Struthio camelus: one gene and its partners. The protein of the gene in region 2 interacts with the protein of the main gene of each other region in a biochemical or structural test. Links are inferred from orthologs where the notes say so. Each region holds a gene or a part of one and is shown on either strand. Other genes may lie near its edges. The genes, in order: COPZ1, TMED10 and COPG1.

Evidence for each region.
Region 1: the proteins of TMED10 (region 2) and COPZ1 form a complex in vitro, tested with the Homo sapiens proteins (2 studies listed by BioGRID, with this or other methods). The link is inferred for Struthio camelus from reciprocal best matches to the Homo sapiens genes TMED10 and COPZ1.
Region 3: the proteins of TMED10 (region 2) and COPG1 form a complex in vitro, tested with the Homo sapiens proteins (2 studies listed by BioGRID). The link is inferred for Struthio camelus from reciprocal best matches to the Homo sapiens genes TMED10 and COPG1.

What each region holds. Positions count from the first base shown.
Region 1 is NC_090969.1:2,885,004-2,892,233, forward strand, and holds the start of COPZ1 (coatomer subunit zeta-1), read right to left. Parts: upstream 3,006-7,230; 5' UTR 2,963-3,005; intron 1-2,962. Other genes in the region: NFE2 (transcription factor NF-E2 45 kDa subunit), read left to right, coding at 5,275-5,310, 7,090-7,230. UniProt on the Homo sapiens protein: The coatomer is a cytosolic protein complex that binds to dilysine motifs and reversibly associates with Golgi non-clathrin-coated vesicles, which further mediate biosynthetic protein transport from the ER, via the Golgi up to the trans Golgi network.
Region 2 is NC_090946.1:57,924,962-57,932,085, forward strand, and holds the start of TMED10 (transmembrane emp24 domain-containing protein 10), read right to left. Parts: upstream 3,101-7,124; 5' UTR 2,993-3,100; coding exon 2,774-2,992; intron 1-2,773. UniProt on the Homo sapiens protein: Cargo receptor involved in protein vesicular trafficking and quality control in the endoplasmic reticulum (ER) and Golgi.
Region 3 is NC_090955.1:6,907,914-6,915,837, reverse strand, and holds the start of COPG1 (coatomer subunit gamma-1), read right to left. Parts: upstream 3,070-7,924; 5' UTR 2,940-3,069; coding exon 2,903-2,939; intron 1-2,902. Other genes in the region: ARL6IP5 (PRA1 family protein 3), read left to right, coding at 4,668-4,843. UniProt on the Homo sapiens protein: The coatomer is a cytosolic protein complex that binds to dilysine motifs and reversibly associates with Golgi non-clathrin-coated vesicles, which further mediate biosynthetic protein transport from the ER, via the Golgi up to the trans Golgi network.

The DNA of each region.
Region 1 (7,230 bases), on a different chromosome or scaffold from region 2:
ACCTTTGGCCTCTCTGGGGTCAGGTGGGGGGAGGGGGGACCGTGGGGGCACAGGGACAGGAGCAGCACGGCCATGGGGGGACACGGGGGGGACACGGGGACATGGGGGACGGGGACATGGGGGACGGGGACACGGGGACACGGGGGACAGGGGGACATGGGGGACGGGGACACGGGGACACGGGGGACAGGGGGACACGGGGGACAGGGGGACATGGGGGACGGGGACACGGGGACACGGGGGACAGGGGGACACGGGGGACAGGGGGACATGGGGGACGGGGACACGGGGACACGGGGGACAGGGGGACACGGGGGACAGGGGGACATGGGGGACGGGGACAGGGGGACACGGGGGACGGGGACACGGGGACACGGGGGACAGGGGGGACAGGGGGACGGGGGACATGGGGACACGGGGGACAGGGGGACACGGGGGACAGGGGGACAGGGGGACGGGGGACAGGGGGACACGGGGGACAGGGGGACACGGGGGACAGGGGGACGGGGGACACGGGGACATGGGGGACGGGGACATGGGGGACGGGGACACGGGGACACGGGGGACAGGGGGGACAGGGGGACGGGGGACATGGGGACACGGGGGACAGGGGGACACGGGGGACAGGGGGACAGGGGGACGGGGGACAGGGGGACACGGGGGACAGGGGGACGGGGGACACGGGGACATGGGGGACGGGGACAGGGGGACATGGGGGACGGGGACACGGGGACACGGGGGACAGGGGGACGGGGGACATGGGGACACGGGGGACAGGGGGACACGGGGGACAGGGGGACATGGGGACGGGGGACATGGGGACGGGGACACAGGGACAGGATCAGCACGGCCATGGGGGTCACGGGGGGGACACGGGGACAGGGGGACATGGGGACACGGGGGACATGGAGGACAGGGGGACATGGGGACACGGTGGACAGGGGGACACAGGGACGGGGGACATGGGGGACAGGGACACAGGGACAGGATCAGCACAGCCATGGGGGGACACGGGGGGGACACGGGGACAGGGGGACATGGGGACACGGGGGACATGGAGGACAGGGGGACATGGGGACACGGTGGACAGGGGGACACAGGGACGGGGGACATGGGGGACAGGGACACAGGGACAGGATCAGCACGGCCATGGGGGGACACGGGGGGGACACGGGGACAGGGCCACGGGCTCGACAGGGCCGCAGGATGCTGCAGGGACACGGGGACATGGGGGACGGGGGGACACAGGGACAGGGGGACATGGGGACACGGGGGAAAGGGGGACACAGGGTCGGGGGACATGGGGGACGGTGACACAGGGACAGGATCAGCACGGCCATGGGGGGACACGGGGGGGACACGGGGACAGGGGGACGGGGAGATGGGGGACGGGGACATGGGGGACGGGGACAGGGGGACACGGGGGACAGGGGGACACAGAGACGGGGGACATGGGGGACAGGGACACAGGGATAGGATCAGCACGGCCATGGGGGGACACGGGGGGGACACGGGGACAGGGCCGCAGGATGCTGCGGGGACACGGCCACGGGGGGACACGGGGGACAGGGGGACATGGGGACACGGGGTACGGGGGACAGGGGGACACAGGGACATGGGGACACAGGGACAGGATCAGCACGGCCATCGGGGGACACGGGGGGGACACAGGGACAGGGCCACGGGCTCGACAGGGCCGCAGGACACTGCAGGGACACGGGGACATGGGGGACGGGGGAACACGGGGACAGGGGGGACGGGGGGACACGGGGACACGGACACGACATGGGGGACATGGGGACACAGGGACACGGGCGAGCGGTCAACATGGACATGGGGACGTGGGGACATGGAGTCAACACGGCCACGGGGACTTGGGGGACGTAGGGTCAACATGGACATGAGCACACAGGGACATAGGGACAGGGAGACGGGTGAGGGATCAACATGGACATGGGGGACATGGGGACAGGGACACGGGTGAGGGGTCAACATGGACATGGGGGACACGGGGACAGGGACACGGGTGAGGGGTCAACATGGACATGGGGGACACGGGGACAGGGACACGGGTGAGGGGTCAACATGGACATGGGGACATGGAGACACGTTGGAGACAGGGAGAGGGACACAGGGGACATGGGGACAGGGACACAGGGTCAACATGGGCATGGGGGACACAGAGAGATGGGGAGGGGGACATGGACACGGGGACAACACGGACACAGGGGACAGGGGGACGTGGTGACAGGGACATGGACACGGGGTCAACAGGGACACGGGGGACGGTGGTGGGCACAACGCGGACGGGGGGACCGGGGGGGGGGACGCGGTGACACGGACACGGGGCCAACCCGACGTGCAGGGCCGGGGGGACGTGGACACGCAGGGACACGGAGGGGGACACGGGGCGGCCACGCACGCGCAGGGACACGCCATGGGGGGGGGGGGGCCGGACGCCTGGGCCCCCTGCGGGGGGGGGGGGGGGGGGCGGATGCCCTGGGCCCTACTGATAACGCCGGGCCCTGCTGGGGGGGGGGGAGCTGTGTCCCCTGTGTCCCCAACCCTGTCCCCGTCCCCCGTCTCCTGTCCCCATCCTTGTCCCTGTCCTCATGTCCCCAAGTCCCCCTCCCTGTCCCCTTGTCCCCATCCCTGTGCCCCCCATTCCCCTGTCCCCATGTCCCCTTGTCCCTGTCCCATGTCCCCATCCCCATGTCCCTTTGTCCTCATGTCCCCCACTCCCCCATCCCCGTGTCCCCACCCCGTCCCTGCCCCCTGTCCCCCATCTCCTGTCCCCATCCTTGTCCCTGTCCCCAAATCCCCATCCCTGTCCCCTCCCCATCCCTGTCCCCATGTCCCCATCCCTGTCCCCATGTCCTGTTGCCCCAGGTCCCCCCTCTGTCCCTGTCCCCCTGTCCCCCACTCTTTCTTTGCCCCCATGTCCCCAAGTCCCCATCCTCACCCCTGTCCCCGTGTCTCCTTGTCCCCGTGTCCCCCACGTCCCCTGTCCCTGCACCCCCCATTCCCCTGTCCCCATGTCCCGTCCCCCCCCGCCGTGCCCGTGTCCCTGCGGCGGGTGCCGGGGGCGGGCGGGGGCCGGGGCCGCCCCGGGGGCTGGCGCTGCGCCGTGTCCCCGCCGTGTCCCCAGAGGCGCCCGCGATGGCCGTGCCCTGAGCACCAGCCCCCGGACGCCGGCGGTGACCCGCGGCAGGTAGGAGCCCGCGCGGCAGGACACGCGTGTGCTCCCGTGGGGCGACACGGGGCCACACGGCTGGGGGACGTGGGCCGGGGTCAGGGCAGGCGCGGGCTCGGGGATCGGTGCACGCGTGTGCCCAGGGATCGGTGCACGCGTGTGCTCAGGGCTCGGTGCACGCGTGTGCCTTGGGTCTGGTGCATGTGTGTGCCCAGGGGTTGGTGCACGCGTGTGCTCAGGGGCCGGTGCATGTGTGTGCCCAGGGATCAGTGCACGCATGTGCAAAAGGGTCGGTGCACGCGTGTGTGCCCCGGGTCTGGTGCACGTGTGTGCCCAGGGCTCGGTGCACGCGTGTGCCCTGGGTCTGGTGCACGCGTGTGCTCAGGGGTTGGTACATGCGTGTGCCCTGGGTCTGGTGCAAGCGTGTGCCCAGGGCTCGGTGCACGCGTGCGCCCTGGGTCTGGTGCATGCGTGTGCCCAGGGATCGGTGCACGCGTGTGCCCTGGGTCTGGTGCACGCGTGTGCTCAGGGGTTGGTACATGCGTGTGCCCTGGGTCTGGTGCACGCGTGTGCTCAGGGGTTGGTACATGCGTGTGCCCTGGGTCTGGTGCAAGCGTGTGCTCAGGGGTTGGTACATGCGTGTGCCCTGGGTCTGGTGCAAGCGTGTGCTCAGGGGTTGGTACATGCGTGTGCCCTGGGTCTGGTGCAAGCGTGTGCTCAGGGGTTGGTACATGCGTGTGCCCTGGGTCTGGTGCAAGCGTGTGCTCAGGGGTTGGTACATGCGTGTGCCCTGGGTCTGGTGCACGCGTGTGCCCTGGGTCTGGTGCATGCGTGTGCCCTGGGTCTGGTGCACGCGTGTGCCCAGGGCTCGGTGCACGCGTGCACCTGCGGACCAGTGCGTGTGCCCGGCGTTGGCTACGCAGGTTTCCGTGCCCAGCTCTCGGCACACGCGTGTGCGAGCGCCGGGGCGGTTTGCCCGCAGCGGGGCCGGGGCACACGCGGGGCGCGGCGCCAGCGCCGGCGCGGGGCGATAACGGCGCCGGGGCCCTGCGGTTCCAGCTGCCCCGGCCGGCGGGTAACGACGGGAAACGGGGGCGGAAAGGGCCCCGGCGGCCCCGGCCCGGCCGGCTGCAGTGGCTGCGCCAGCGCAGGGCGCCGTGTTTGTGTAGGGTCTCCTGGGGGCCGTGTTATTGCAGGGTGCCCCGGGTGCTGTGTTATTGTAGGGTCTGCAGGGTGCCGTGTTATTGCAGGGTGCCCCGGGTGCTGTGTTATTGTAGGGTCTGCAGGGTGCCGTGTTATTGCAGGGTGCCCCGGGTGCTGTGTTATTGTAGGGTCTCCAGGGGGCTGTGTTATTGCAGGGTGCCCCGGGTGCTGTGTTATTGTAGGGTCTGCAGGGTGCCGTGTTATTGCAGGGTGCCCCGGGTGCTGTGTTATTGTAGGGTCTGCAGGGTGCCGTGTTATTGCAGGGTGCCCCGGGTGCTGTGTTATTGCAGGGTCTCCAGGGTGCCGTGTTATTGCAGGGTGCCCCGGGTGCTGTGTTATTGTAGGGTCTCCAGGGGGCCGTGTTATTGCAGGGTGCCCCGGGTGCCTCACCGCCGCCGGACCCCCGTGTGCGGCACTGGTGCAGGGCGAGGGGTGGCCCAGGGGTGGCACCCGAGCTGGGGGACACGGCGGCGTGCTGACACCCCCAGGGGACACGGGGGTGGCGGGGGGGGACGGCCAGGGCGGCTGCCGCTCGTCGGTTGGGTCTTGTGCAACCCCTCGGCGGGCGTTGGGCAACGGGCTGGCGCAAGCGGGTGGCCCCCTCCCCAAAAGCAGAAGTGGGACCCAGGCGTCCTGCGCCCAGCCGGGGGCGGGGGGGGGGTGGCCTTGCCCCGGGGACACGCGGGTGGCACCGCGGTGGCAGAGGGGGCCCCGCTGCCGCCCCCCTCCCTTCCCCGCCTGGGGAAACTGAGGCAGGCGGCGGAGCAGGGGGGTGGCGGGGAGGGACCCAGGCGTCCGGGTGGGGGGGGGTGGCGGGTGCGGCGGGCGATAACCCCTTATCTGGGGCGGCAGGAGGAGGCGGGCGCAGCGGGACGGGGATGTGTGACCCCGGCGGGCTGCCGGGCGCCCCCGAGGTGAGCGCCGGGGGGGCCTGGGGGGGCCCTGGGGGGCTATAGAGGAGTCTGGGGGGACACTGGGGGTCCTGGGTGGAACTGGGGGGGCCCTGGGGAGTATCTAGGGGGTCTGGGGATGACAGGGGGGGTCTGGAGGGGGGTATTTAGGGATTCCTGGGGGGGTGTCAAGGGGTCTAGGGGCTGGAGGGGGTATTTAGGGGTCCCTGGGGGGGTGTATAGGGGTCTGGGGGGGCTGGAGGGGGTATTTAGGGGTCCCTGGGTGGGTGTATAGGCGTCTGGGGGGTCTGGAGGGGGTATTTAGGGGTCCCTGGGTGGGTGTATAGGCGTCTGGGGGGTCTGGAGGGGGTATTTAGGGGTCCCTAGGGGGGTGTCAAGGGGTCTGGGGGGGGCTGGAGGGGGTATTTAGGGGCCCCTGGGTGGGTGTATAGGGGTCTGGGGGGGCTGGAGGGGGTATTTAGGGGTCCCTAGGGGGGTGTCAAGGGGTCTGGAGGGGGTATTTAGGGATCCCTGTGGGGGATCTAGGGGGCTGGGGGACGAGGAGGGGGTATTTAGGGGTCCCTGGGGGGTGTATAGGGGTCTGGGGGGCTGGAGGGGGTATTTAGGGGTCCCTGGGGGGTGTCAAGGGGTCTGGAGGGGATATTTAGGGATGTCTGGGGGGGTGTATAGGGGTCTGGGGGGGCTGGAGGGGGTATTTAGGGGTCCCTGGGGGGTGTCTATGGGGTTTGGGGGGGCTGGAGGGGGTATTTAGGGGTCCCTGGGCGGGTGTATAGGGGTCTGGGGGGGGATGGAGGGGGTATTTAGGGGTCCCTGGGGGGTGTATAGGGGTCTGGGGGGGCTGGAGGGGGTATTTAGGGGTCCCTGGGGGGTGTATAGGGGTCTGGGGGGGGATGGAGGGGGTATTTAGGGGTCCCTAGGGGGGTGTATAGGGGTCTGGGGGGGGCTGGAGGGGGTATTTAGGGGTCCCTGGGTGGGTGTATAGGGGTCTGGGGGGGGCTGGAGGGGGTATTTAGGGGTCCCTGGGTGGGTGTATAGGGGTCTGGGGGGGCTGGAGGGGGTATTTAGGGGTCCCTGGGGGGTGTCTATGGGGTTTGGGGGGGCTGGAGGGGGTATTTAGGGGTCCCTGGGCGGGTGTATAGGGGTCTGGGGGGGGATGGAGGGGGTATTTAGGGGTCCCTGGGGGGTGTATAGGGGTCTGGGGGGGCTGGAGGGGGTATTTAGGGGTCCCTGGGGGGTGTATAGGGGTCTGGGGGGGCTGGAGGGGGTATTTAGGGGTCCCTAGGGGGGTGTATAGGGGTCTGGGGGGGGCTGGAGGGGGTATTTAGGGGTCCCTGGGTGGGTGTATAGGGGTCTGGGGGGGCTGGAGGGGGTATTTAGGGGTCCCTGGGGGGTGTCAAGGGGTCTGGGGGGTCTGGAGGGGGTATTTAGGGGTCCCTGGGGGGTGTCTATGGGGTTTGGGGGGGCTGGAGGGGGTATTTAGGGATCCCTGTGGGGGGGCTAGGGGGCTGGGGGACAAGGAGGGGGTTGGGGGTGTACAGGGGGTATCTAGAGTTGGGGGTTGGGGTTAGGGGTCCTGGGAAGGTGTCGGCCCTGGGGGTATCGAGGGGTCCAGGGGGGTGTCAGGGTCCTGGGGGGTCATTGGGCGCCCTGGGGAAAGCGGGAGGGGGGCTCTAGGGCCCGGGGAAACGGGGAGGGGAGGCTGGAGGGGCCCCGGCCAATCAGAAGCGTGGAGGTGGGGGGGGGGGAACACTGGGCAGCCAATGAGGTGCCGTGTGCCCGCAGGCGCTGGCGGCGCTGGGGGAGGCCATGGGGCGGCTCCCGGCGCTGGCCCCGCCCCCGGCGCTGGCCCCGCCCCTCGGCCCCGCCCCCGCGCTGGCCGAGGTGGAGCTCACGTGGCAGGAGATCCTCTCCCTCAGCGAGCTG
Region 2 (7,124 bases):
TATGCAGTCAGGTACAGAGACAGATGTGTTGCCACTTCTCCTGTCAGCCAGGGACAAGCCACCGAACCACTGGAAGCTCAAGCAAGCAGGCCTAACTGCACTGCAGAGCCATCTCTATCCGACCACACAGACATGACATAAAAGTATATGTTTTGGTGACCATGCAGCGCACACTATTCAACAGCGCAGCTCTGATTAACCAAGATGCCAGTCTAATTATATATATACATACGTGTGTATATATTATACACACACACACACATACATACTGCACGGTGTGCCCACTGGCTTCTCAGTCTCAAGAAACAGTTCTTGTTACTGTTGTCCCTATTATTTTGAGCACTGTCCTCTAGAGATTTCTAGGGACCAGAGCTAAGCTTTAGCTAAAGGATACTGTGCAGCTTGATCCATTTTTGTCCTTTACAGCTCTAGCAATAGCCCGCTCATAAACAGGATCTCAGACAGTAAAAGCTCTGCTGTCTGCTTCCTTCAATATTGGACACTGTTACCCAAATCAGGCAAATACATTACCCATTCAGTTGGGCATGCGGGGGTGGGAGAAGTTGCAAGTAACCCAGTCAGAACACTTGTGGGGGAGAAGTTGACCTGAAAGGGATTTTTCATGATATTCTAACGTTATTTACAGTAACACCATCCTCCACAGACAGGGCATTGTTCTCCCTTGACAAACAGCCCAACAACTCCCCAAACTGCCAGCCTCAACAATGGACAGATGCACGTGACTGGGCCCAAGCAAGACGTCATCCACCCAAAAGCCTCCCTTCCATAGCCAGCTGGCAAATTGGGCAGATTCCTCAGAAACAGAGGGTGCCACTGTTAGTGTTGGAATATCACAAACACAGAACTTAGCTCATGGACAGGAACCATACTGAGCTCAGCCAAGATTAACTACCAACCTCCTACGTTCTGGTGGCCCAATTCAGGGAACTGAAACAGACCATCCAGTGCAGAAGGAGGGAGACCACCTGCAGATATCACGCCCTGAACTAACCTTTCCTGCACAAACTCAGACACAAAGCTGTTTTGGTTCTGTCTATATACAGATAAGTTTCCTGTTACAAATGATGTAACTATACAGCACAAAACAATTAAAAAAAAAAAAAAGGCAACAATCCAGAAACATAACCAAGCAAGACTACCCCTATCCCACGGTTTTCAGGTATTTCAAGGCAGATGCTGCAAGGGTAACATGATTTCAGAAAAATCTCACAGTGCTCACTGAACACTCCCATTTCTGAACCTAGAGATTCTTGAGCAGACAGCCTTGTCACTGTTTGCTTGTACACTTACTTTTAAAATCCTCTGGAAGCTCAGAGAGAAGACGGACAGAAAGCAAGCTTCTGCAAATGGATTAAGTTAGAGTGATTAGTAACAGACCTTACTTGGATAGTTGGGAAATGAGAAGAAAGCCCAGGGAAGGAAGATAATGAACAGAATTAAAGTGAAGCTGCTGAAGTGTTATTTTAATAGCTTCCTGTCACATAGATAGATTTATTATTCACATATATATTCTGCTGATCTTTCCCCTATACTCTGTAAAGGTCCTTCAGGCTATCATCTTGGTGCTTTCTTCCCTGCAGTGAACACCGCAGCAGTGGTAGTATGCCAAAATGCCCCATTAAAATCCATGTAAGTCATATGATACAGAAAGAACAGAGTAACTGCTTATGAAAAGCTTGTTTCTAAGCCCCCATCTGACCTTTTCACTATGATCTGCTGCCTGGCCCCTTTGTACCAGGCTATAGGCAGAGATGGAGCTCTTGAACAGCCACGTCACTGTAATTCTCTCCTCCCTACACAGTGTCAACAAAGGCAGGCCTAGGACGGCTTTATCTCAGCGGCCCATCCCCCACGTGGTGCCACATGTCTTATAATCCACATGCCTCCCCCTATGATATCTCATGGGGACAGCAAGCCTTGGTGTAACTTCTTAAGCTGTTACCTACCTTTCTCCCCCATTACCTAATCCCCAGATAGCAAACGCTGGGCGAGCTGTTCACCCACACTGTTCCCTAACACAAAGCAAGCCCTGTCACAATCCTCTACTACGTCACTGGAAGCTGTCTGTCACTGAGGCGCCCCAATCCTTCCCATCATGAGAAACGTAAAAGGCAAGGCCTGCCACCATCTGTAACTATAACCCATGTATGTGCTGCATTATACATGGAAACACAGGCCACGTCAGGACGGAGGGCCCACAGGCTGGAAGTCCGCCACCTACGGAAAACAAACCTGCCGCAGCCTGGCGCTCTGAGCCACAGTCCCTCCGTGCCACGCAGAGAGAACAACGCCGGCGGAGGCCTGGGGTCACAACCCGTAACCCCGCCACGCCACACGGAGAGCGCAGCGAACCCGCCACAGCAGCGCTGGGCCCTGTCCTGCGGCCCTGAAGCACCGCCGGTGTGCAGAGGGCGCACGGCACGGCACGGCAGGCTGCCGCAGGCCCCGCCGCAGGCCGGCAGCTCCCCGGCGCCCCGCAGCTGCTGCCGCCTCCGCTCGCAGAAAGCCCGCCCGGGCCGCGGCCGAGGCCGCCCCGCCGCTGGACAGAGCCGCCCGCAGCCCCGCGGCCGTTACGTGCGGGCCGCGCGCGGCGCCATGGCCCGCGCCCCGCCCCCGCCACGTCCGGCGCCGGCCCCGGCCCCGCGCGGCCCTGTCACGGCGGCGGCGGCCGCGCGCGGGCGGGTCGGGCCGGGCCGGGCCGGGCCGGGGCGCCGGCGGCGGTCCGGGGGGCCGCGATCCGCCCCGCTCGCACCTTGAGGTTGGCGGAGGGGCCGGTGGAGGAGCCCGGCGGCGCGCCGATCTCGTACTCGCCCGTGACCAGCGTGTCGCGGTGAATCTCCTCCCGCAGGCACTTGCGGGCCTTGCCCGGCAGCTGGAAGGAGATCGGCCGCGCCGGGCCCACCAGCAGCAGCAGCAGCAGCGCCGGGGCCAGGGCCAGCCTGAGGCGGGGGCGGCCGGGCGGCAGCGGCATGGCGGCGGCGGCGGCGGCGGCTCCGGGTGCGACAGGCCGGGCGTCCTCCTCCGCGCCACGTGACCGCCGCCACCGCCGCTGCGTCAGCGCAGGGGGCGCGCGCGGCTCGCGCGCGGGCGCGGCGCGGGGGGAGGGGGCGGGGCGCGCGCGGGGGGCGGGAAGCGGCGGCGGTTGGGGGGGAGGGGCGGCTGCGGGCGTGTGGGCAGCCGCGGGGGGGGGATGGGGGGGCTGGAGTATGAGGGCTGAGGGTTGTTCGGCTGCCGGCGGGGAGCAGGGGGAATAAAAATGGACCCGGGATCGTGGCAAAGCGACGCTATTTTTCTTTTAAAGTGTAAATGATGGCTTCAGAAAACTGCCATGAAGGTTGCAAACGTGCGGGAGGCCCGGGAGCAGGTTCACACCCGGTTCTGTCCCCCCAAAAACTCTCGCTGTTAACAGTAACGTCGGAAGGCAGAAGAGTAAAATGAACGTAGCGCAAGCGCTACCGCGCGCCTTAAATCACAGTCGGTAATTTTAGAGTAGCGACCCAAAACGCCGCGCTTGAGGGAAGGCTGCGGGCGCCGGCCTAGACTGGCGGCCAACAGAAAAGGGCCGGTCACGTCCCTCCGCCGTGGTAGGGAGGCCGCGCGCAGGCCCCGTGGGGTCGGTGGGGTTTGTGCACGGCGGCGCAGTGTGTGCCCGAGCGCGCCCTGCGTCACCCAGACCCGCCGCAGGAAACCCTAGGGCCGCCGGACCCCCTTCTCCTCTGTCCTGCAACCAACACTCGGGGCCTCCTGCACCAGCTTCCAACGTTGAGAGTTTAAGTGTGTTTCTGATCGTCTTCTCCAGGCACAAGGGTATTCGCTGGAGTTAGGTATTAAACATTGCCTCTTACTGGTGGACTGTTACATTTTTAAAGAAATGATCTGTTACACAACACAGTCATGAGTTAACAAAATCGAAATGTGTTAAGGTAGAGAGGTGCACACAACGGACGTACAAGCCATCTAAACTGTTACAGACTCCCAGAGCGTTTCATACGGTTGGACGTCTGCCAAGTCTTTCAGTGGAAGATGCAGTGCCCTTTCTAAATTTTTTTTTTAAAGTTTCTGAGTAATTTTCCCTCTGTTTTCTTCAGCCAGGAAAATTTTGTCTTACCAGATGTCTTACTTCTGTAGATCAGCACCATGCAATACCATACAATAATGATAGAGAGAGGCTACGGTTTTTGCCACTAAATATAATTATGATGATTTTTAAAGACACTTTGGAGAATTGTTTTTCTTTCCAGTGTATGCTCAGATCTAGTTTTTTTTTTTTCATTTGGTCTCTGATACTTTAAGTATTTTAGCTTTTATGAACACAGCATGAAATAACCCACCAGCTGCATTAATACTCTCCTCTTTTTATTCCTTTGGCCTTTGCAGTGTTCCTCAGCGTAACTTGCCTTGACACAGGGAGAAAGGAAGGAGGAAAATTTCCTAAATACGCAGTTAGGATTACCAAACCTGTAGTCAGCTCCTGGGATTGGTTGCAAGTATCTGGGTGTGTTTGGAAGTAAGGAAAAGGGAGAAGAAATGGACAAATAGTAATATTGCTAGAAAACAACAAAAAAGCTCTTCTATTTTTATTAGCTTGTGTAAAAATACCTATTACGCTGTTGTTTCACTTTTATTTATTTTAAATGTCACCATTCCTCTCTGTGGGCAAAACATATCATTAATGGCAAGTAATAAGCAGGAATCGGTGCAAACTTCAATCTTAAGAGACTTAAACTACTACATGTTATGACTAGATGCTTACACGCAGACCAAGACAGGCCAAGCCATGACCAGAATGCTTTAAAGAACAGCTCTGTTTTTTACAAGCATATACTCATATTTCCTGAGACGATATGATGAAGGCAGGGTTCGTTTCTCGTTAACTCAAGCAACAAGCTGATCTGGCCTTCATATGAAGGAACAGAAACTATGCCCAACTGTACAGAGACAGACTGACCTCTTTGCTTGGAGGGAAATAAAGAGAACCCTTATGAAAAAAAAAAAAAAAAAAAAGACCTACACAAAGCCTTTTCCTACATTTAAATGACATTTTAGGGAAACACAGTTTTCCTTAGCATAGCCTATATGTTTTAAATGAACGTTGACTGTACTCAAATATACAGTCCATTATTTTAAGTTTCAGTTTATTGTTCGAAGTAGTACTTAGGGTTACTTGTTGCACATTTCAGTGCATCTTTTTTTTTTTTTTTTGATCAGTTCACAAATCTTTCCTTACATGGACAATTAAATTAATTTTAAGCTCAACTGTAACAAATATTTAGCTGGTTTCTGCAATATGTCAAAGTATACTTGCACAATAAAAACATTCTTTCTATTATGGCACTTAAGGCAAAAATAGATATTATTTCACAAGCTTTAAGAAACATAAGATTACTTGAATCTAAAGATATGAAATGTTGTAATGTTCTACCACAAAATTCCTGATGAAACATGCACAACACTAGAAATCTCTCTATGCAGAACATTCCTCATACCAGTGATATGTAGCCAATCTTCTCTCAAGTTCAAAACATTCAATGATGCCTTATTTTCTGGGGTAAATATCAGAGAAAGTGGCTCAGTCCTGTTAAAGTAACCTCATTTTCTAAAATCAAAGTGTGATGTCAGCTATTAAAGAGTAAATATATACTGAATACAGTCCCTTCCTATTTGGTCCATTTTGTCATGGTACATTTTTAGATAAGAGTTACATTTATGACCAACAAACTTATCATCGATCTTTTGTTGTAACTTTCCCTTGTATGACGGTATTATGCTATAAGCTGCTACAAGTTCAGATTGTTCTAATTATAAAATTGTACCATAAACGCCTTAGAGCTTTAGCATGTTGTGAAAGAAAGTAGTACTGATATGCTCTTTACAATTTCCATCTTTTCGCTCTCTGAAGCACTTACAAATGCAATGGGGCAATCTTCATTTAATGTGCAAAGTAACTTCTAGCAGATGGAAGGCATTTTAAGATCCTTTCAGCTGCGGGTTTAGAAATAACAGTCTTGCAGGGACATGCCTTAACATTTCCACATATTCCAGGCTGGCAAAATGAAATACTTCCTGTAATTCTGAAACTCTTAACAGATGAGAAAAAAAGATTGATAACTTGTTACACAACTTTCAAGATAAAATGATGACCTATTTTAGCATAATTTGCAATGTTACGCATTATATGAGCTTGGCAACTAGCTACAGGCGAGTATTTGTTCTTGCTGCCATTAATCTGTAGACAAATGGGTGTATACCATTCTACCTTATCATCTGCAAATCGCGACACGTTGCCAAAATTTAAACCATTTTGTCCCTGTACGTTTCTTATATTTTCAAACATCCCAGTGCAGTTTAGTTGCGGACTGGAAAATAAAGAAGAGAGCGACAAATTATTTAGCTTTCATCTCCATATTAACAAATAAGCCCTGGAAACTTGTTAATACTTCTGTAGTGTGAGGCGGCAGTAGCTGCAGAGGAAAATAAGCTCTTTCCCACCAAATTTTTAATTGTTTTCTCAACTGGAAAAGAAATTGGCAGATTGTTGGCAATACTTAGTATTGCCTTACTAAAATGTATCTTGTATCCAGGGTGAATCTCAGAAAACAACACTATTTAATTTGCTGTCTCCATGAAACAATATGTATGAATGTGTGTAAATGATGTAATTAGACTTTTTTTCTGCTTCTGCCTCAGCTGCTTTGCCATTTCTGCATTTTTTTTGTTTTTAACAATAAAAAGTTGAAACAATTTTGTTCTTAAAAGCTATTCTAGAATTACTTTTATGATCTAATCCTTTTGCATTCTGTCTTACATCTGGCAATGCACTACAAGCTACTGAGAAACTTCTGCATAAACTACGTAAGCCTTGTGATACTAATCACTGTTTTTACTAACCCGTGCAAAGTTGCTTGTCCACGTCTTCTGAGAAGTGCAAAACCTCTTCTTCTAAAGGGATATATCCTAACTCATTGCTGGGATATAACTACTAAGTCACCATCATGATCATGATCCAGATAGGGATCTAATTCAATGAGCTAAAAATAAACAATAGCTAAACAGCCATAAATCAGCACCACACTGCTCTACCTCCCCTGTAATCTGCCTCAGAG
Region 3 (7,924 bases), on a different chromosome or scaffold from region 2:
CTCAAAGGCAAACATCTACATCCTGGACCCTTTCAGGTTCATAAACTCCACTCCTCTGGCTCAGGATAAGTTTGTAAATGCAGTAGGTGGCGGAACAAAGCACAGACATTTACATAGGACAGGTAAAAAAGGGAAACAAGGGGAAAGGATAAAACTAATGTAAAATTCTAGTACGTGTGCGTGACTGGGTTCCAGAAACGGGTTTGAAAAAAATCTTCCTAGAAGTGCAATATTTCCCATGGCGTAGCATGTCTACAATCCCTAGAAAAGGGAGGCTGAAAAAGCTGAAAATTAGGGCAAGGCATTTAATGCACATTAAAGCAAACAGTAAGCACAGTCTACAGAGAACAATCATTAAGATTTACATTGAATCAAAGCACTTCAGGAGACACAGTAAACACTCAGATGGCTATTCAACACTGTCATATCTAACAGTGATTCCACATGAATTACACACCAAATGAAATATCAACCGCTTCCTTACCAGGCATTACTCAGGTGTAATGTTTTGAAAAGTCAGTCAACCCGTCTTTAAAAACAGCATTTATTTGATGCTCTTAGCATTTCAAACCCACTGAGGTATGCAGCTGTCTTGTTAGAAGAGCAGACTGTGTGTGTGCGTGTGTGTGTGTGTGTCAAAAACCCAGCACCAGAAGGTACAAATCAGTTTCTACCCTGTGTTAGCGTCTGCTTTGATAGCTGGGCAGCTGTGAACAGGATTGAGGGATACATGCTTGAGATTCAGTCCCTGACTCCAGCGCCTGATGATGCGGTAGGTAACTTCGGAGTACTTCGCAAATGGTTTAGTCTCTGTTTCTGTAAATCACAGGAGTACTAAAGCAGATTGCTCTAATATTTCCACAGTGCTTCTTATTGCACTCATCTCCGCACCATTCAACCCCCGGGTACAAAGCTAGTACCAACGCACCAGCGTCTCTTTCCACCGTGACAATCCGGCACCTGCCTTTGCCCTCTGCAAATTCTACGCCCTAAAACCATCTCCTGCTTTACATTGGCACAAAACGTTTTGCGGAGCAACCCGGCCGTTCAAGAGTCAGATGATTCTGGGTGGAGGTGTGGGTCCCAAAAGTCAACTGGGAGCAGCCAACCAGATGGCATCCCAACAGCGTGGGAACGGCGGGATTCCTCCAAAACGCGCGGCCTCGGACATCGTCGCTCTTGCTAGCTTCTGTGCCGCCAGCCTACCTGCCTCCCAGACGGCTTACGGCAGCTCCCCGGCGCCCGCTCCGCCTCCTGCCCCCCAACCGCAGGGGGCTCCTGCCCTGGGGCGCCCCAGGCCTCCCTCCATCACAGCCGCCCCCTCCGACGGCCGCAGCGGGGGGGGGGGGCTCCCCTCACGGCCGCCCCCTCCGACGGCCGCAGCGGGGGGGGGGGGGCTCCCCTCACGGCCGCCCCCTCCGACGGCCGCAGCGGGGGGGGGGGGCTCTCCCCTCACGGCCGCCCCCTCCGACGGCCGCAGCGGGGGGGGGGGGCTCTCCCCTCACGGCCGCCCCCTCCGACGGCCGCAGCGGGGGGGGGGGGGCTCTCCCCTCACGGCCGCCCCCTCCGACGGCCGCAGCGGGGGGGGGGGGCTCTCCCCTCACGGCCGCCCCCTCCGACGGCCGCAGCGGGGGGGGGGGGCTCTCCCCTCACGGCCGCCCCCTCCGACGGCCGCAGCGGGGGGGGGGGGCTCTCCCCTCACGGCCGCCCCCTCCGACGGCCGCAGCGGGGGGGGGGGGCTCTCCCCTCACGGCCGCCCCCTCCGACGGCCGCAGCGGGGGGGGGGGGGCTCTCCCCTCACGGCCGCCCCCTCCGACGGCCGCAGCGGGGGGGGGGGGGCTCTCCCCTCACGGCCGCCCCCTCCGACGGCCGCAGCGGGGGGGGGGGGGCTCTCCCCTCACGGCCGCCCCCTCCGACGGCCGCAGCGGGGGGGGGGGGGCTCTCCCCTCACGGCCGCCCCCTCCGACGGCCGCAGCGGGGGGGGGGGGGCTCTCCCCTCACGGCCGCCCCCTCCGACGGCCGCAGCGGGGGGGGGGGGGCTCTCCCCTCACGGCCGCCCCCTCCGACGGCCGCAGCGGGGGGGGGGGGGCTCTCCCCTCACGGCCGCCCCCTCCGACGGCCGCAGCGGGGGGGGGGGGGCTCTCCCCTCACGGCCGCCCCCTCCGACGGCCGCAGCGGGGGGGGGGGGGCTCTCCCCTCACGGCCGCCCCCTCCGACGGCCGCAGCGGGGGGGGGGGGGCTCTCCCCTCACGGCCGCCCCCTCCGACGGCCGCAGCGGGGGGGGGGGGGCTCTCCCCTCACGGCCGCCCCCTCCGACGGCCGCAGCGGGGGGGGGGGGGCTCTCCCCTCACGGCCGCCCCCTCCGACGGCCGCAGCGGGGGGGGGGGGGCTCTCCCCTCACGGCCGCCCCCTCCGACGGCCGCAGCGGGGGGGGGGGGGCTCTCCCCTCACGGCCGCCCCCTCCGACGGCCGCAGCGGGGGGGGGGGGGCTCTCCCCTCACGGCCGCCCCCTCCGACGGCCGCAGCGGGGGGGGGGGGGCTCTCCCCTCACGGCCGCCCCCTCCGACGGCCGCAGCGGGGGGGGGGGGGCTCTCCCCTCACGGCCGCCCCCTCCGACGGCCGCAGCGGGGGGGGGGGGGCTCCCCTCACGGCCGCCCCCTCCGACGGCCGCAGCGGGGGGGGGGGGCTCCCCTCACGGCCGCCCCCTCCGACGGCCGCAGCGGGGGGGGGGGGCTCCCCTCACGGCCGCCCCCTCCGACGGCCGCAGCGGGGGGGGGGGCTCCCCTCACGGCCGCCCCCTCCGACGGCCGCAGCGGGGGGGGGGGGCTCCCTCCATAGCTGCCCCCTCTCTCCCCCCCCCGCCGTCTCCCCTCACAGCTCGCTCTCCCCGGCCGCCCCTCACCCGACTCCTCGTCCTTCTTGTCGAACTTCTTCAGCATGGTGCTTCTGGGTGGGTGGGTGGGTGCGAGCGCCCCTCGCCGTGCCCTGCCGTGCCCGTCCCGCCGCGCCGGTGTCGCTGTCGCCGCCGCCCGCCCCTTCCTGCCGCCCGCCCCTTCCTGCCAGCCTGTCACTGCCACCACCGCCGGCCGCACTGCGCAGGCGCGGCCCGCCCCGCCCGGACGTGGCCTCCCGGCTGGCCCCGGGCGGGGCGGGGCGAGGGGGGGGTGCAGTTCAGGGGGCGGGGCGAGAGGAGGTGTGCCCATGGAGACGGCGGTGATTGACAGGAGGGGCGGGGATGGGGAGGGAGGGGCGAGGCCTGATTGGCGGGGAGGAGCCTGGAGTGTGGAATGGGACTGGGACGCTGCGACTGGCGGGGGGCACACTGGGATAGGGGCACCGGGACTGGGGGCATTGGGACTCAGGGGGGCACACTGGGCTGGGGGGGGTATACTGGGCTGGGGGGGGCGCACGGGGATGGGGGCGCTGGGACTGGGGAGAGTGAGAAAGATGAAGAACGCCCCGCCGCGCCTCTATGGGCGGTGCTTTGCTAGAGCGCCGCCGCGCGGCAGGCCCATAGAGATGGAGCGGGGCACAGGGCGCGCCGCTGGGAGGGCTAATCTCCATGGCAACAGGAGGACTCCTTCGCCTCCTCCCCCCCCCCCCCAACCATCCCTCACCGCAGCCGCCATCACGTTCAGGCCTGCGCTCGGTGCCTTGAGAGCCAGAGCCGCGACGGCGACCCCGGGACCCCGCAGCGGGCTCCCTCCCTCGCCCCACAACCCCTCCAACAGCGGGGATCCCCCCTCTGCCTCCCGGGGTCCCCCTGCCATCTCCCCCAGAGCCCCTCGGGGGGGGGGGCAGAGCACGCCGCCATCGCAGCGTCGCGATCCCTGTCGGAGGCCGAGGGACAAAGTCCGGAGGTGGAATTAGCCCCCGGCATGTCACAATATCCCACAGCCAGGTGGCTGCTACCTGCGAGTCACGTTTGCAAACGTGTTTCGTTTATCAACAGCGCCGCGGGCTGCTAAGGGTTTGTGATTTTTTGGACTCTGGCTCCCCAAATCCGACTTTGGGAAGCGCGATTGAGTGCAGACCTCCGGCGCTGCGCTCACGCTCGCTTTACTGCCGGCCTCCGCTTCGCGTCGGGCTTTATCGTCCTGCCACCGTGACTGGGCGCACCGAGCTGCCGGCGGGACGTGTGCCCGGGCAAGGTGTGTGCGCAAGCCGCAGAAAACGGAGGTCAGAAGGGACCAATTTTATCATACGCTACCGGAGTTGGAATCACCAGGGCTGCTGGCACTACGCTTCCCCTCCAACGCATCCTCGCTGAAGGATTTACAGTGTATATATACGTTTATATATATACAGAGGGCCTCGAAAAAGCCCTGTATCGTTATTTTTTACTACTGCCTCTCCGGCTGGGGTGATTATTGCGCCTGCTGCCTTCCTCGGGCCTGCCAGCGGCTGCCCCACCTCCCCGCACAGCGCACACCACCCGGATCCCCCCACCCCCCGGGCCATTCCGCCTCTTCAATCTCTTGCAGATTAGCAAATTAGGCGCATCGACCCTGCCGCCGCGAGAGCGCGCCCGCCCGCGCCGCTCCGCCGCCCGCCGCCGCCGCCAACCAGCGAGCCGTCCCGGGGCGGCGCCGCTGCGCTCTTAGGGCCTGCGCGGCGCCGCCGTGCCCGCGGCGGCGGCGGAGGAGGAGGAGGAGGTGGCAGCAGCCATGGAGGTGCAGGTAGCGCCGCTGCGGGCCTGGGACGACTTCTTCCCCGGCTCCGACCGCTTCGCCCGGCCCGACTTCAAGGACATCTCCAAATGGAACAACAGGGTGGTCAGCAACCTCCTCTACTACCAGACCAACTACCTGATGGTGGCCGCCACCGTCGTCTCCATCGTGGGGTCAGTGACTGCGCGTCGCCCGCGGGCCGGGCCTGGCCCGTGAGGGGGCCGGGGGGGCCCGTGAGGGGGGCTGGGGGCGGCTCCCCCCGCGGCTGCCCTGATTTCGGAGCCAGGAGGCTCCCGCAGAGGCAGGGAAACGGCCTGTCGCCTTCTCCTCCTCCCCATCAACCGCCGGGCCGCCTCTCGTCACCTATAACGTTTCAAAAGCAACGCCCCGGTTGCAGCTCTCTTTGTGTATATGTGTCTGTTTATTATTATTATTTTACTTTTTTTTTTTTTAAAGGTGGGTGAGCGTTTAGAGTAGGGTTCAGGACGTTTATTTTATCTGGGGAGGGGGGGACAGGTGACAAATCTGAGAGCGATCGCTCTCCTCCGTTGAGGCTGCCCAGGCGGCTCGGCACAAACGTGAGAGCCCCAGGTACGGAGGGGTTTTTGCAGGGCATGGTATGGCTGGTAGAAAGCGGTGATGGGTTTAAGTGCAGGATGTAGCTGCTCTCTGAAAAACTAAATTGCATCCTCTGCAGTGACCTAGCACTTCCTGCTTAAATCTGTCTAAACTCTGCTTTGGATTAAAAATAATAATAATTCTGTTGTATGTTATAGTTTTACATTGATTTAAAGGGAACAGAATGAACTTCTCTTACTCCTGAGCTAACTCATATTGAAGAGCTTCAAATATGAAATGCATCAGGGTACACGTTCATTTCATTTGGGGCAGGGTGATGTGCTGGTAGTTTGTTCTCATCAGGCTCGGTTTTCCTAAAGAGTTTTGGGAAATCACCTTCTAACCATCTTTTGAATTAAGGCCTATGTGACTGTCTTTCGAGCGTTGCTCTAAGAGCTTTTTGACCCAAGATCTTACACAAGAGATGCAGCAGAGCCTGTGATGATTAAGCTTTTAATATGGAAGTAGGAATACATTTCCTATGCTCTCTGTAATGGGGGTAAATGCTTACACTGAAGGATTGCCCAGCCATGAGGCTGAAGTGGCCTTGGCAGCAGTGTATGTTGCAAAGGCTTAAAATACATCTTCTAAATCCAGTTTTTGTTAAACAAGTTGTATCTAGTTACAGCTTTTAAAGCTGTTGACCCAGACTCTCAATTAAGATGCTTTGGGTTGCAGTGAGGTTTTTGAGCTATTTTTTGTGAAAGCAGGGGCCCCAAAACACTGCATTTTCTTCTTAATTTTTGGTGGGGATGTGGTACAGTCAACTCACTAGATTATCAAAGTGGTAAAAAGAGGCTTCCATGCTCTTGCCATTCTTGCACCGCTATTGGTTTAAACTTCTGTGTCATCTGCCCTTGTTTAGCAGTGAGATATTGTAGCGAGTCCTAAATGACTAGGCAAAGCAAAGTGGTTCTGGAAAGCAAGGGGGAAAACTCATCTCCCCAAGGGAGCTTGGTGTGGTGGTGGGGAACAGTTTTGATATCCCTGGCTTGGAAAACTGAAATAGTAATAACTCTTATTCAGTCTTCTAAATTCCTTTCCCCTTCTGTACTCTCATCTCTTCTGTTCAGATCAAGTGTGAGGCCTCTCCTGCTTATTTCCAGCTCAATGTTTCTACCTTGCTGGGAGGGAGGGGAGGAAGGTGGAAGGGAGCCACAGGAGGTAAAGATTACTATCAGAACAACTAGCTCTTAATATTCAGTGGTAATGCACTGAGTTAAAAATTCTGGACCAAAAAACAGTTGGAACTGGATCTTAATCTCAGATTTATTCATTGTTTATTGCACTTCTTAGAGCCCTTGATATATGACAAATCTGATTCTTCTAACACTGAAGTAAAAGGGGAAGGGAGAAGAACTCTAAAGGGAGCAGGGTAACTCTTCAATAGAGGAAAAACTATCCACTGCTTCTATTAAACGGTTTTCACTTGGCCATATCATGGTTTTGGGAGAAAGGCAAAGAAAGTTCTTCTTAGTCATCGATATAAATTTATCAGTTGTAATCTTGCACTTTGTTCTGTACCGCACAGGAATTCCTGAGTGATAAATGAGGAATCATGACTTTTCAGGAACTCCAGAACTTTATGCAGGCCTAGGGACAGGATTATGCAAACTGCTAGTGCAGTGGTCGTCTTGTGATCAGAACTGTCTTGGCTCATAACCAACTATACCTGCTCTTAAACCGTCAAATTAGAAATACAGATGTGTAACGCAGAGATAATGTTTTCAGCATTGTAATAGCGTGGCACTTGTGGTGGTGCTGGGCTAACATAGAAAGTGTAGCCTGTAGCTTTCTTGATGTTGGAAGTACAGTGCTTATTGCCATGGTTTCAATTTACTGCCTCTCGTGCAACAAATTTGACATCTCCAACCTTTCACCCTCTCTCTACGAGGTATGGAATAACCTTAAGTGTAGTGGAATTTTAATACCTGCTGCATGGTTCCCTTGTCTCTCCCCTTCCAGTTGCTTTCTCTGATAGCTACTGTTACGTGTAAATGATGTTTGATGCTTTACCATCATGTGTATTGCTTTCAACCTACAGATGTAAGCAGGGAATAATAAGTCTGTGAACAAGAAACTAAAACTACTTCCTTCCTTAAAAAAGAAAAAACAACCTTTAAGAATGAGTCAGGACTGGGGTGCTCATTCTTCTTGCAACTCTGTTGCAATAGACCACTTTAGGGGGGGGGGGAATGTTACTAAAGGAAACTGCCCCTTCTCCCAGTTGTGAGGGCACTGATGATGATGCTCCATTCTTGCCTTGTCACTGTGAGTGCTGTACAGATATTTATTAAAAATAGTGTCTCCTGCAATGGCTTGCAACTTGTTCCCCCCTCCTGAAACTATCAGTCTATGTAATGTGTCATTTATCTGAGTTCTCACCTACTCTCATGGCTTCCCTGTCTTGCTGTTCAAACTAACTACTTAAATTCTTTTTTTTTAATGCTGCTGTTGTCATCAGGTACTTGCTAAATAGTAGTTTTTAAATCTGATAGTGTCCAAAAGTGTAATGATTTCAGAGTGCCTCATTTAAGAGTCTTCATTCTCGTGTGGCTTAATAACTTGAGCAGCCTAAAGCCCCGTGTCTCTTCTCCTTTGTCCCCTCTGCTCTAAATATCTGCTGGCCTTCTGTA